2 linked regions of the Stegostoma tigrinum genome follow. The protein of the gene in region 2 purifies or fractionates together with the protein of the main gene of each other region. This does not show direct contact. Links are inferred from orthologs where the notes say so. Each region holds a gene or a part of one and is shown on either strand. Other genes may lie near its edges.

Region 1 (7,866 bases), about 34 Mb from region 2:
CCCACACACACACCCCCACCCCCGTCTCCCTCCCCCAGTCCCCACACACACCCCCACCCCGTCTCCCTCCCCCAGTCCCCCACACACACCCCCACCCCGTCTCCCTCCCCCACTCACACACACACCCCCACCCCGTCTCCCTCCCCCACTCCCCACACACACCCCCACCCCGTCTCCCTCCCCACACACACCCCCACCCCGTCTCCCTCCCCCCCTCACACACACACACACACACACCCACCCCGTCTCCCTCCCCCACTCCCCACACACACCCCCACCCCGTCTTCCGCCCCACACACACCCCCACTCCATCTCCCTCCCCACACACACCCCCAATCCGTCTCCCTCCCCCCCACCCCACCCCACACACCCCCCCCAGCGACTCCCTCCCCCACCCCACCATCTCCCTCCCACCTCCCCGCGCCCCCACTCTCACCATCTCCCACTCCCCCATTCCGTCTCCCTTCCCGCCAACCCCAAACCCCGTAACCCTTCCCCACTCCCCGCCAACCCCCATCGCCCACCCCCCGTCTCTCTCCCTCGCTCCCCCACACAGCCCCCGTCTCCCTCCCAAATCATCCCCCCAACTCACAACCCCCGTCTCCCTCCCACCCACACCCCCCCGTCTCCCTCCATCCCCCCACACACTGCTGCCCAGTCTCCTCCCTCCCCCCGACACCCACACCACACCACCCCCCGTCTCTCTCCCTCCCACCCACACACCGTCCCCGTCTCCCTCACACCCACACTCCCCACGGTCTCCCTCCCTCCACCCACACACCGTCCCCGTCTCCCTCACACCCACACTCCCCACGGTCTCCCTCACACCCACACTCCCCACGGTCTCCCTCACACCCACAACTCCCCACGGTCTCCCTCCCTCCCACACACACCCCACCACCTCCCTCCCTCCCACCCGCCCACATTCCCCCCGTCTCCCTCCCACCCGCCCACATTCCCCCCGTCTCCCTCCCCACACCGCCCCCGTCTCCCTCCTCCCACCCACCCACACACCCCCCCACCCACATTCCCCCCGTCTCCCTCCCTTCCCCAGTCTCCCTCCCTCCCCCCCTCCCATCCCCGCCCCCACCCACCCCCTCCCCCCCACCCGCCGCCTCCCTCCCCCCCCTCCCCAACCATTCCCACCCACACCCCGTCCCTCCCTCCCCACACACCCAGGACCCCGTCTCCCCTCCCTCCCCACACCCTCATCCCGTCTCCCCCCGCAACACACACACCCCGACCCCGTCTCCCTCCCCTCCCTCCCCCCCACCCCGTCTCCCTCCCCCTCCCTCCCCCCCACCCCGCCTCCCTCTCCTCTCCCTCTCCCCCTCCCTCCCTCCCCCCCCGACTCCCTCCCCCGACCCCTCCCTCCGACCCCTCCCTCCCTCCCTCCTGACCCCTCCCTCCCTCCCGACCCCTCCCTCCCTCCCTCCCGACCGCCCGACCCCCCCCTCCCTCCCGACCCCTCCCTCCCTCCCGACCCCGACCCCTCCCTCCCTCCCTCCCGACCCCTCCCTCCCGACCCCGACCCCTCCCTCCCTCCCGACCCCGACCCCTCCCTCCCTCCCTCCCGACCCCTCCTCCCTCCCGACCCCTCCTCCCCTCCCTCCCGACCCCTCCCTCCCTCCCTCCCGACCCCTCCCTCCCTCCCTCCCGACCCCGACCCCGACCCTCCCTCCCGACCCCCCCGACCCCTCCCCTCCCTCTCCCGACCCCGACCCTCCCTCCCGACCCCGACCCCTCCCTCCCTCTCCCGACCCTCCCTCCCTCCCTCCCTCCCGACCCCTCCCTCCTCCCTCCCTCCCGACCCCGACCCCTCCCTCCCTCCCGACCCCGACACCCCCTCCCTCCCGACCCCGACACCGACCCTCCCTCCCGACCCCGACCCCCCCCCCTCCCTCCCGACCCCGACCCCCCCCTCCCTCCCGACCCCGACCCCCCCCTCCCTCCCGACCCGACCCCCCCCTCCCTCCCGACCCCGACCCCGACCCCCCCCCCCCCGACCCCCGACCCCCCCCTCCCGACCCCGACCCCCCCTCCCGACCCCGACCCCCCCCTCCCTCCCGACCCCGACCCCCCCCTCCCTCCCGACCCCGACCCCGACCTCCCTCCCGACCCCGACCTCCCTCCCGACCCCGACCCCGACCCCGACCTCCCTCCCGACCCCGACCCCGACCTCCCTCCCGACCCCCGACCCCGACCTCCCTCCCGACCCCGACCCCGACCTCCCTCCCGACCCCGACCCCGACCTCCCTCCCGACCCCGACCCCGACCTCCCTCCCGACCCCGACCCCCCCCCTCCCGACCCCCGACCCCGACCCCCCCCCCGACCCCCGACCCCCCGACCCCCGACCCCCCCCGACCCCCGACCCCGACCCCCCCGACCCCGACCCCCCCCGACCCCGACCCCGACCCCCCCCCGACCCGACCCGACCCGACCCCCCCCCGACCCCGACCCCGACCCCGACCCCGACCCCCCCCCGACCCCGACCCCCGACCCCCCCCCCACCCCCCCCCTCCCCCCCCACCCCCCCCCCTCCCCCCTCCCCCCCCCACCCCCCCCCTCCCCCCCGACCCCCCGACCCCCCCCCCGACCCCCCGACCCCCCCCCCCTCCCCCCCGACCCCCCCCCTCCCCCCCGACCCCCGACCTCCCCCCCGACCCCCCCCCCCCCCGACCTCCCCCCGACCCCGACCCCCCCCCGACCCCCCCCCTCCCACCCCGACATCCCCCCCGACCCCGACCCCCCCCGACCCCCCGACCCCCCCCCGACCCCCCCCTCCACCCGACATCCCCCCCGACCCCGACCCCCACCCCCCCCCGACCCCCCCCCCCTCCCACCCGACATCCCCCCCGACCCCGACCCCCACCCCCCCCGACCCCGACCCCCCCCCCGACCCCCCCCTCCCCCCCGACCCCCCCCCCGACCCCCCCCCCTCCCCCCCGACCCCCCCCCTCCCCCCCGACCCCCCCCCTCCCCCCCGACCCCCCCCCCCCGACCCCCCCCCGACCCCCCCCCCCCCGACCTCCCCCCCGACCCCGACCCCCCCCCGACCCCCCCCCTCCCACCCGACATCCCCCCCGACCCCGACCCCCCCCCGACCCCCCCCCTCCCACCCGACATCCCCCCCGACCCCGACCCCCCCCGACCCCGACCCCCCCCCCCTCCCCCCCGACCCCCCCCCCTCCCCCCCGACCCCCCCCCCCTCCCCCCCGACCCCCCCCTCCCCCCCGACCTCCCCCCCCGACCCCGACCCTCCCCCCCCGACCCCGACCCCCCCCCTCCCCCCCGACCCTCCCCCCCGACATCCCCCCCGACCCCGACCCCCCCCCGACCCCCGACCCCGACCCCCCCCCCTCCCCCCCGACCCCCCCCCTCCCCCCCGACCCCCCCCCCCCCTCCCCCCCGACCCCCCCCCTCCCCCCCGACCTCCCCCCCGACCCGACCCTCCCCCCGACCCCCCCCCTCCCCCCCGACCTCCCCCCCGACCCCGACCCTCCCCCCCGACCCTCCCCCCCGACCCCGACCCCCCCCCTCCCCCCCGACCCCCCCCCTCCCCCCCGACCCTCCCCCCCGACCCTCCCCCCCGACCCCGACCCCCCCCCTCCCCCCCGACCCCGACCCCCCCCTCCCCCCCGACCCCCCCCCCGACCCCGACCCCCCCCCCGACCCCCCCCCCGACCCCCCCCCCGACCCCGACCCCCCCCCCGACCCCCCCCCGACCCCCCCGACCCCGACCGACCCCCCCGACCCGACCCCCCCCCCCGACCCCGACCGACCCCCCCGACCCCGACCCCCCCCCCCGACCCCGACCCCCCCCCCGACCCCCCCCCCCGACCTCCCCCCGACCCCGACCCCCCCCCGACCCCCCCCTCCCACCCGACATCCCCCCCGACCCCCCCCCGACCCCCCCCCCCTCCCCCCCCCCGACCCCCCCCCCCCCCTCCCCCCCGACCCCCCCCCCCCCTCCCCCCCGACCCCCCCCCCCTCCCCCCGACCCCGACCCCCCCCCTCCCTCCCGACCCCGACCCCCCCTCCCTCCCGACCCCGACCCCCCTCCCTCCCGACCCCGACCCCCCTCCCTCCCGACCCCCCTCCCTCCCGACCCCGACCCCCTCCCGACCCCGACCCCCCTCCCGACCCCGACCCCCCTCCCTCCCGACCCCGACCCCCCTCCCTCCCGACCCCGACCCCCCTCCCGACCCCGACCCCCCTCCCTCCCGACCCCGACCCCCCTCCCTCCCGACCCCGACCCCCCTCCCGACCCCGACCCCCCTCCCTCCCGACCCCGACCCCCCTCCCTCCCGACCCCGACCCCCCTCCCGACCCCGACCCCCCTCCCGACCCCCCTCCCGACCCCCCTCCCGACCCCGACCCCGACCCCGACCCCGACCCCGACCTCCCTCCCGACCCCGACCTCCCTCCCGACCCCGACCTCCCTCCCGACCCCGACCCCCCCCATTCCGCCACCCCACCCCATTCCGCCACCCCACCCCATTCCGCCACCCCCACCCCACACACCCCGCACACCCCGTCTCCTTCCCTCCCCACAACACAACACCCCGTCTCCCACTCTCCCTCCAACTCCCGTCTCTTCCCTCCCCGTGTGACTCTCCCACTCCCCTCCCACTCCCGTCTCTTCCCTCCCCGTGTGACTCTCCCACTCTCCCTCCCACTCCCGTCTCTTCCCTCCCCGTGTGACTCTCCCACTCTCCCTCCCACTCCCGTCTCTTCCCTCCCGTGTGACTCTCCCACTCTCCCTCCCACTCCCGTCTCTTCCCTCCCGTGTGACTCTCCCACTCTCCTCCCACTCCCGTCTCTTCCCTCCCCGTGTGACTCTCCCACTCCCGTCTCTTCCCTCCCCGTGTGACTCTCCCATTCCTGTTTACGCGGCTCTGGTTGGTCGCCGTGTTGCTGTATTATTTTTTGGAAAGTCCAGTCGGAGCGAGAGGGTGTGGGAGGAATGAGACAGAGCGCTGATTGTGAGAGGCAGAGAGAGAGAGAAGGAGCGGCCCGGGCCCGGCTTGAAGCGGACACCAACAGCTGCTTGCGGCCAGAATGAAGTTCCGCAGCGGCCGGCCTGGGGTAAGGACTCTCACTGGAGCGGGGCCTCGCCTCCCGTCAGAAACTTAGCTCGTAGCACAGAGACCGACTGGACCGGAGCTGCACTCATTAGGACTGACTGGGACTGGGACTGGGACTGGTCTGTGCTGAGCTGGTTTAGTTTCTGAATTTGTTGGGATATCTCTCCACCAGTTCAGGTTAAACTGGAGTCACATCCCAGGCCAGACACAGCGAACAAAAATGGTAACACTTTGTAACTTGCCCTTAGTTAAATGTGTATGATGAGATGTAATTTGTTCCTGGTTCAGGGGTTCTTGTTATTTCCAAATTTTTGAACAGTTACTTGAAATGACAAAGTTTAATGTTACTTTTAAAAAGTCGTCGTATCCGAGATGTGTTTATTCTGTTGACTGAGGTGGTGAGTTTTGCAGGTCTGTGTTGGAGTGTTTCCAACCACCCGGTTGCCGAACAACCTAGAATCTGCAGCCAGATCAGGCATACAAGGAGATTGGAATCAAAGTTCTGAAGTTAAATGTCACTGCCTACACGACATTGCTTCAAATTTCTTCTATTGCCCTTTTGAGCGTGGAGTACAATGTACCTTTCTGTTCAAGATAAGTAATGTCAGTTCATCGGTTTGACTTCTGAATCTGTCTAAGCTAGTTAACCAGGTTGCATTTCAAACCTGCTTTCCATCAGGAGCTGTTGGATTCCAAGTAGTCCCTTTTCAAAAGTCCACCCCATACTGCAGTTTTATTTCTTTAAGAAAATTGTCTAATTCTGAAGAAAATGGGCATTATTGGTGAGAGCAGCATTTATTGCCTAATGCTAATTACTTCTCAAAAAGTTTGCCTTCCACAACTATTTCAGCCTTGATTCGGTGCTGAAGGAGCGACTGATAGATGCCGTGTTAATGTTACAGAGGCTGAGTTATTGACACAGGACGAGTTCAAATCCCATCGAGGTAGCTGAGGGAATTTAAATTCAATTTACAAAATAAACAATCTGGAATGAAAAGCTGGTCTCATTGACAGTGATGATGAAATCATCTGGTTGACATAAAACTCATCCGGTTCTCTAACTCTGATCCTGATGTTCTTCACTCACCTGGTCTGGTCTACTTGTGACTCCAGATCCACAGTATGATGGTTGTGTCTTAATTGCCCCTTGTGGTGAGTGTGGAAGAGGAGGTAGGAGAGGAGTGAGGAGGGGGAGAGGGCACTTATTTATGAATAAGATTTAGAGGAACACTAACTGTTTTGGGGAAACATTGACAGTGGAGTTGGCTTGGAGAGAGGAAGCTCAAGATGATTGTATCACATGATGAGGTTTTTCCTATTATTGGGGAAGTTCGGTGCAGGAGGCTGAGACATTTGGATAAATGATCATATCGGTTGCTCCTGTCTTACTGTAAGATCAGTCCAAATAAGGTATCTCATGGGTTGAAGTGCAGTGATTTTAATTGCTGGTGATGTGAGTCTTGACCCAGCGCTAATATTCCCAGTTCAATCTCATCACCACCATAACTAATAGATGCCCTTAACGTTTGCGTGGCCTGCTTCATAACCAGCCTGGAACTGGGACTAAGTGTTTCCTGACCCTTTTAACCATTCTCATTGCTCACAATGTTCATATTATCTCTATGCAAATATTGGGAAAAAATGATTTTTTTTTAAAAAAAGGAACTTCTGAAGTTTATCTTTGCTGATTATTACCTCTGAGTCATTTGGGGTTCTGATACACATTTTGGAAAGCATAGGCATCTAACAGATTTTTGATAGTTTATTGCAATAAAATCAAAGATGTTTCAGGAGAGAAAGAAGCTATTTGTTCTATCAAGCCTGTGCCAATACCAGTCCTTCATGGATTACGTGCTACAATCCTATTCCTCTGTTCTTTTTCTGAGACTGTGCTCCTGTCCAACTGTCATGTTAGTATCTGAAAGTATGTCTCTCTCTCTCTCTCTCTCTCTCTCTCTCTCTCTCTCTCTCTCTCTCTCTCTCTCTCTCTCTCTCTCTCTCTCTCTCCATACTAAACGCGCTGCCAGTAGCCCCCCTCTCTCCCTCTGTCCCTCTCTGACGAGCATGCAGTACTGGATAAGTCAAGAGGAATCCCTCTGTGTGATTCAGATGCCAAAAAGTGAACAATGGATGGTAGTAATGCCAAGATTGGCAGGGAGTGGCTGTCCGTGTCTCTCTGTGCAGTGCCTGTGTGTCCCACTCTGTCTGTCTGTGTGTCTGTCTCCCTCACTATCTATTTGTGCATCCGCGTGTCTCTCTCTCTTGCCCCCCTCCCCTTTCTTTCTGTATCCTTTAGTGTGTGTGTCTGTCTGTGTCTCTCTCTTTGTTTTATTGTCTGTCTGTATTTGCCTCTTTTTCTGTTAGTGTTTGTGCCTTTCTGTACACGTGTGGGTGTCTTAATATTTGTGGAACCATATGTATCTTTGTATCCCAGGGAAACAGCCGGGTTGGTGGGGTAGGCCGTGGTGTCCCAGAGAGAGAGTATGGTGCTGTAGGGAGTGGTCAGGATGCATAGATCCAGAGGAGGGAGGGACGGGCCTAGGTAGTCCCCAAGGGTTATTGGGGGCAGAGGCTTCTTCCTTGGTGTTACAAGTATTGTGCCTGGCTGATGTAATCCTGGTCAGTCACTGGCTTTGCAAACTCTCTCACTGTGACCGGATTCCTTCACTGTTGTTTTTCCTGAAACACAGATGTTAAAGTAGCCCTTTTACAGTGCTGATTCTGTAAACCAGAATATTCCTGAATTGTCACAGGTCCAGCAGATTTTTAGAACTCGGT
Region 2 (7,406 bases):
GGGAAATTAGCTAGTGCTGTGTACAAATTTATTATTTTTCATCCAGAACAAGACAGTTTTGATAATGCATGTAATGTCTTTGAATGAAGGCCGTTTTCCACAGCACCAGATGAGCAGTTAGGATCCCCTTTCAATATTCAAAGGAGAGTACTTCAGCATTCAAAAAAGAATTCTGTCTGCCAACCCTCCTGTCATGTAACTTCATCAAATAGAAATAATTGGTTGAAAATTGTTTTGCTATCTGTGGGATCTAGCTGTACAAAATGTGGCTGTACTTTGCTTATGAAACAGTATTCTGAAGCAGTTCAAAACTTGATGCTTTTATATAAATAAATGTGGTACACAGTGATTGACATTTGAAAATGACATGCTGACTCAATGTGTGTGATATCATTTGTAATATTGGGTTCTAAAGTGGTCAAAACCATGTATAGTCTTAAATTTGATGTGCATTACCATATTGTGTTTCTATGTGTTAAGGGGAGATATGGGGGTTGAATTTTCTTAGATGCAGTAACTTTGTGCAGTTTACTAGTCTGCTTTTTTTTAAAATGAAAGGAGAGAGCTCCGAATTTCTATGATGAGATTCTGATCAGGGCTCCTTCAAAATGTGGAGCCATTCATCATTTCTGACAATTCTTTGGTAATGCTGAGGGTCCAGGAAAAGGCAAACCATAAACCCATGACAAAGGTCCAAAAACATTGTCGCTTTAACAGTTACTGATAAATAGTAAGCATATATGTTAAGTGTGAGGTTAGGGTGATGGCAAGGAAGGGGGCCAGGAGAGTGATCGCCTGGTATAGGTCAGGATGTGTGGGAATACTAGGTCTGGTGGGAAAGGATGCGAATTGGGTCAGGGGTTGCAAGTGCAGTAGAGGTGGAGAAGGGGGGTCAAGTCTCTGGGGTGGAAGGGAGAAGCAGGTTGGGTCCAGAACGGGCAAGGGGCAAAGCAGACTTGTGTCTGGGGAAAAGGGACGAGTGTGTCTGGAGCAGGTGAAGGGTGAGAGAGGATAAGGTTGGATCCAAAATGGTTGAAGATGGATTGGGTCTGAAATGGGGTGATATGCAGGAGTGTCAGGTGATGGTCAGGGAAGTGTAGCTGATCTGAAGGTGTGTTTGGAGTGTTAGGTTAAGACAATGCATTTAACAGTCTAACACTTTGATTTATGATTTACTAAATTTCACTGGAGACCTCTGAATTCTGTAGTTTAAATGGAGACTTCCAGAGAGTTCCAAGCATAGAGTAATTGCCCCTTGGAATCTTCAAATTTCTTGGCCATTCCTCTGATATCTGCCAGGATGGGGATCCACAGGGCTCACAGTGCAACTCCCATCAATGCTGGAATAACACCTATCTGGTCATCAGAAAACCCACACCATTGTTCCTGGAGTGTCTGAAGTTTGTTACACAGTAGACGTCCAGGCAAACAGTTTGGTCTATTAGGAAAAAGTGGTAGAAGAGCGTTTTTAAAAACAACTGCTGATGCCTAGCCAGTAAGGTCCAGCAGCGCACAAGATTGAGAAACTAACCCTATCGCAGGTAATGGGCAGACATTCCCTATGTGCGAAAAGGTGCTGCTTGTCTGGCAGTCTTCAAAAAGTCAGGGCTGGAGAAAAATTCCTGTGTGGCTCAAGGATAAAATATCCCCAGATGTTGGAAGCTGAGGTATAGAAGACATGTTTGCTTTGAAACTATTTGTAAGTTAACACCAAGAAAACTCCAGAAACCAATTATAGCTCAGCCAACTGAAGAAGAAACTTTAAAGTGGAAACAAGGTGACCTCAACTAACATTGAGCATCTGTCAGGTTCTTGTTGAGGGTAAATCTTTAGCTCTGGTAGAATCATAGAGCTGTACAGCATGGAAACAGACCTTTCGGTTCAACTTGTCCTTGCCAACCAGATATACGAAACCAATCCAAAAATAGGTCAAGAAACGCCTACAGAAACAGCATCAGAAAGATTCTACAGGCCCTGACAAATTCATCACACTACCCCACATCAGGAACATGTCAGAACTCACCACAAGACTTCTATGACCGCTGGGCATCAGAGTGGCACACAAACCCACATCAACCCTACGACAAGTACTCACCCGAACTAAAAACCCACTCCCCGCCATGGACAGGACCAATGTCACCTACAAGACCCCCTGCAGAGACTGAGAGAAACACTACATCGGACAAACAGGAAGGAAACTAACAACAAGAGCACATGAACACAAACTGGCTACAAAAAGACACGACCAATACTCACTCATCTCAATCCACATGGACAAGGAGAACCACAACTTCAACTGGGACAATGCCAAGATCCTGAGACAGGCTAGGCAGAGACAAGCACGAGAATTCCGGGAAGCATGGCACTCCACGAAGTAGGCTAATAATAAACACATTGAACTCCACCCCATGTACATTCCACTACGAAGGAAACCCAGAAGTGAGCCAGTCTATCGCAACAGACCCCAGGGTTTAAAAACCAGGCGGGAAAACCTCAACACCCACAACCCGAGCTACAGATCTACTCCAAAACCTTAGCAATCCAATTCCATTTGCCAGCATTTAGCCTGTATTCTTCTAAATCCTTCCTATTCATATACCCATCTAGATGCCTTTTAAAAGTTGTAAACGTACCAGCCTCCATCACTTACTCTGGCAGTTCATTCACCAGTTCATGTGCCACCCTCTGCAAGAAAATGTTGTCCCTTAGATCCCTTATAAATGTATGTAATCTAGTTTTGGATTCCCCTACCCTGGGGGAAAGGACCTTGGCTATTTACTCTTTCTATGTCCCTCATGATTTTATAAACCTTGATAAGGTCACTGCTCAACCTCCAATGCTCTGTGGAAAATAGCTACAGCCTATTCAGCCTCCACTTATAGCTCATCCCTCCAAACCTGGCAATGTCCTTGTAAATCTTTTCTGAATCCTTTCAAGTTTCACAACATTTTTCCTGTAGTAGGGAGATCACAAGTGAATGCAGTATACCAATCGTGGTCTAACCAATGTCCTGTACAGCTGCACGTGACCTCCTAACTCATCATCACTTTATCAGAGGCTGCACTGAGGATGTTACCAAGCATGATAACGAAATGTCTGTATAACAACAAACCAGCTCGGTGAGCCAACCAACCTCAACATCCATCTGCCACTCCTGAGCCCATTGCCTATTTGATCTGATCTGTTTCAAGTAGTTCTTTTGTGTAAAACAGTTCATGTATTTTTTTGGGTGAAATATACTTTGTACTTTTAATAAAAGAACATAATCATGAACACACCTGAACTGAAATATAAACAAATTACTAGGAAAAACTCAGCAAGTCTGTTGCCACCTGTAAAGAGGATGCAGTTAATGTTTCGGGTCCAGTGATCGACCTTCAGAACTAGGCTAGCAAGGTTTTCAGGGCGTCTATGCAAAAATATAATGCCAAGTTTCAGTTTGGGACCTGTCCACTTACAAAAAATGCAACATGTTTTGATGTAGGATGTCCAATTATTTCCGATAAGCCTAGTATTAACGAACTTTTTAAAGTACACATAAGCACACTAATAATCACTCAACATTTTTCGGGGAAGTGAGAACCTCCAATCGTTATTTTTAGTGTACACCTCATCCCCCTCTCTCCTGACAAGAGTCCAGGAAGTTCCGAGCAGTGGTCGCTGAAATCAGAAACACTTTCTCTGTACACACACTGCCGGACCTACCGAGTTTCTCGAACAATTTCTGTTCTTGTTTCGAGGATTAAAAAAAAATCTAACGTTCTGTACCCAAAGTGAAGGACAGCAATATTGGGTGGAGTTTGATGGGTGCCTGGGATAGAGGAAGATACTAGGGCTACTCCAGTGATTGACTGACAGATGCCTTACAGCCGCACGCACAACTCGCCCATCCACCGCTTTATTTACCAACCACCCTCCCACCCCTCTACAACCATACGTGCTGGCCGCCCGGGCTCTGATTGACGGCTGACTGTCCCAATCACTTTCTGTATGACATCCATCAATCATCTGCAAGCCCCACCTTCCGTCACTTTCCTCCAATCGCTGAACCAGCAGGTTAGATTTTACCCCTTCACTTTGTGCGTATGTTTTCAATTTTTAAAAAAGAGTCGTCTTTTCCTTTAACAAAATGCTCGAACTTGACAGGCGTCGACAACGCTTTTCCCTTACACACAACTTAACGGACTGCTCGGCCGATCCGAAAAAGAACTCCCTCCATCGCCAGGTTAAGCGACGGCCGTAACCTTTCACCCTCGAAATCTCGAACCCGCGCTCCAAGCGCGCACTGTGCGGTGCTGATGGACAGCAGACACAGCCAATCGGAGGGCGGCAGCGTGCGGTGTTCAGCCAATGGCGATGGAGAAGGTCCGGGTGTTTCCGGCAGGCCGTTCGGGTCTGCTCGGTGGCGGGAGGTGTCGATCGGCCGCCGGTCAGGAGCCGAGCTGCGGAACATCCCGCCATTTTTGAACTCTGCCGCTGGAGCCGGGGCGTGAGGATCGCGCCTTCTCTTTCACTTTTGGGCGATCGGAGCAGCCGAGAAACGGACAGTCCTTTAACCTATTTTCCCCACCCTCCCCCTTCCCCATCACCACCGGCAGGAGCTCCCTTTGAGAGCCGAGCCGGCTGGCCGGCTGGACCATGGCGCCGCTGCTGGGCAGGAAGCCATTCCCGTTGGTGAAGCCGCTTACAGATCTGTCGGCAGAGGAGACTATCTATGTGATCGAGCACAGCGGAGAGGGGTTTCGGAGCAACGAGTATCCTTTAGATCCGAGCCAGGGACCTGAGGGGATCGGAACCCGGCCTTGGGCGATAGCCGGCGTCTCCTAGGGACAGGGGCCTAGGTTTGAGGCAGGAGCTGCCGGGAAGGAGATGCTGTGGGGAGATAGCGCCCTGCTGTCACTATCTGTCAGCGCAGGCCTGTTCAGCGGCAGTGTCCTCCAGAGTGAATTCAGTCAACGTTACCAACTCTACAAGTTAGTCATTGTCAGGAGGCCCTTTGCTGCCAGGCTGGGCCTACTCTTGGGCATTTTTACCGTGCAGTCCTGGAGGGGAATAAATAAAGGGGCCGCACGGGAACGAGCTTCTTCTCAGCTCACAAGTTAAACGTGTGGCTGGCCTACGGTTCCATGTTTAACTACTTTGACGACAGGACTGACTGCAGCTGTCAAAAGACTGGTCCAGCGCTTTCCCTGCTTAATGCTGATGCTTCCACAGCATCAACCTTTTTAACGAGTGAATGACTTGTTATTTAAGCAACTTTGTGAATTTGTTACTCAAATTGCTTTTAGTCACTTTGGATCTGTATTAAATTGAGTAGCTTCATGCAGAAATGAAAATTACGTGTACTGGAGACACGCACAAATAGCTGAAAATGCTAGAGGCACACAGCAGGCCAGTCGTCATCTGGAACTCAGGGGGTTGTGATATTGGATTGTGGTCTTCAGTTAGTGATCTATTCTCTTTTGTAAAATGCTGTTGTCTGTGTGCTTTAATTGTTGTTTAGAGCTAAATGTTCTATATGTTTCTGATATGGACAGTATTGTCTTCTGTGAAGCTTTAGGAATGCTATCTGAAATGAAACTGTTTAATGTATTAAAGTACTTTGAGGAAAGCTTGATTCAAGAATGCATTGGAACAGTTAGAAAGATGTCAGAGTGTTTTTTAAAAAAATTAGACTTTTTTGGGTTTGTGTTCTGAACTTATTTTTATTTCTGATCTACAGGAGTGCTTACACCTCCCCCCTCACCTCCCTTCAAGGCCCAAAGCCAACCTTTGATATTTGACAGGGGTTCACCTATACATGTGCCAACTTGGCCTACTGTACCGCTGCTCCTGATGTGGCCTCCTTGACATGGGTGAGACCAAGCGGATACTGTGGGACAGTTTCGTAGAGCATCTGCACTCTGTAGGTGATAAACGGCAACATCTTCCATTTGCCAACCATTTTAACTGCTCCCTTCACTCCTTGGGTGACATATCCATCCTGGGCTTCCTCCTGTGCCGCAATGACACCATATGCAAACTGGAGGAGCCTATAGCCTGATTGCCTGAACATAGAATTCACCAGTTTTAAACCCCCCCCCCCCCCCCCCCCCAGCATCCCTCTCATCCCTGCCGCCTTGACCTGATACAACCTGTTTATCTTCCACACCTATTCGCCCTACCCTTCCTTTCGACCAATCCCCACCACTCCTTACCTGCATTCATCTATCACCATCCCACCTACCTTCCTCAGCCTCACCTGTCTTCTCAATTTATTTCCCAGCTCCCTGCCCCCTCCCCATTTCTGAAGAAGGGTCCTGACTGGAAGCGTCAACTTTCCTGCTCCTCTGATGCTGCCTGGCCTGCTGTGTTCCTCCAGCTCCACACTGTTGTCTCTGACTCCAGCATCTGCAATTCTTGCTGTCTCTGAGTTCACATACTTTGTTTGCTGAAGGCGCAGCTCATGCTTTTCATTCTAAAATGCAATACAAAAATTCTACAAGGGTTTTGCATGCAAGAAATGTAAGTGAAAGAAAATATAATCCCTCTAAAAGCAGTATGTACATCAATTCCAGCAAAAAGCTTCATTAACTTATTTTATTCCCTTAGCTGTGGCTACCAGTTTAACCTTTATAGTAGCTTGTACAGATTCGCACAAGGTTTGTGTGGAAGGTTTCAAAATAGAATGACTTCCGTGTCACTAGCTAAGCTGTTTGAATGTATTGGTAAGGATTTTTTGAGAAAAGAAAAGCTTTATTTAAAATAAATCTTTAACTTTTGAGTTATGGCAGTTTGTGTAAAGTTTCCAGTTTTTTTTAAGTTTATCTAGGTTTGGAATCTGTGAACTTGAGAACACAGTCTGCTTTGATCAATAGCATCCTGCTTTCATTGAGATCTGTAAGAGCAGTACTGCAGTTCTCCTGTCAAGTGGCTAAAGTTTAGAACTCTGATTTGTCATACCTTCGTGGTCATCAAGATGCTTTGGGTACAGCATTTCATGATTACAAGCCCTTTTTTTAAATGAAGAAAAGAAGACTGGTTACCTTAAAAAAAGTTCAAACACTGCTATAGTACAGTTATCTGGCCAATCTTGTTTAGAAATGGCACTAGGATATCAGTGTATTTGAATCTATTCTTCAGATGAGAGGTTGGAGGTGACTGGAGTGCCGGAACAAAATCATTGTCTGCTCTTGTGGAAAACCATTTTACTGGTGTTTTGATGAGCTTATACCACATTGGAAAAAGAACTTTGATTAGCCATCATTGCCTGTCTGCAGATCTTTACTTGCAGCACTGTAAGTGGTGCTGAAGGCCTTGGAAAAGTGAGAAAATTTGTGTTTTTGAAACAGGGCTGAACGCGATGATTGATTATGACTCATTGCCATCCAAATTTGACACTATGGCAGAAGGAGTTATTCTTTCTG

The links.
Region 1: the proteins of baz1b (region 2) and unconventional myosin-Ic-like purify together in Homo sapiens (affinity purification with western blotting; 3 studies listed by BioGRID, with this or other methods). This does not show direct contact. The link is inferred for Stegostoma tigrinum from reciprocal best matches to the Homo sapiens genes BAZ1B and MYO1C.

The regions. Positions count from the first base shown.
Region 1 is NC_081380.1:47,583,256-47,591,121, forward strand, and holds the start of unconventional myosin-Ic-like, read left to right. Parts: upstream 1-4,847; 5' UTR 4,848-5,062; coding exon 5,063-5,089; intron 5,090-7,866.
Region 2 is NC_081380.1:13,702,905-13,710,310, reverse strand, and holds the start of baz1b (tyrosine-protein kinase BAZ1B), read left to right. Parts: upstream 1-4,392; 5' UTR 4,393-4,638; coding exon 4,639-4,754; intron 4,755-7,406. UniProt on the Homo sapiens protein: Atypical tyrosine-protein kinase that plays a central role in chromatin remodeling and acts as a transcription regulator. Involved in DNA damage response by phosphorylating 'Tyr-142' of histone H2AX (H2AXY142ph).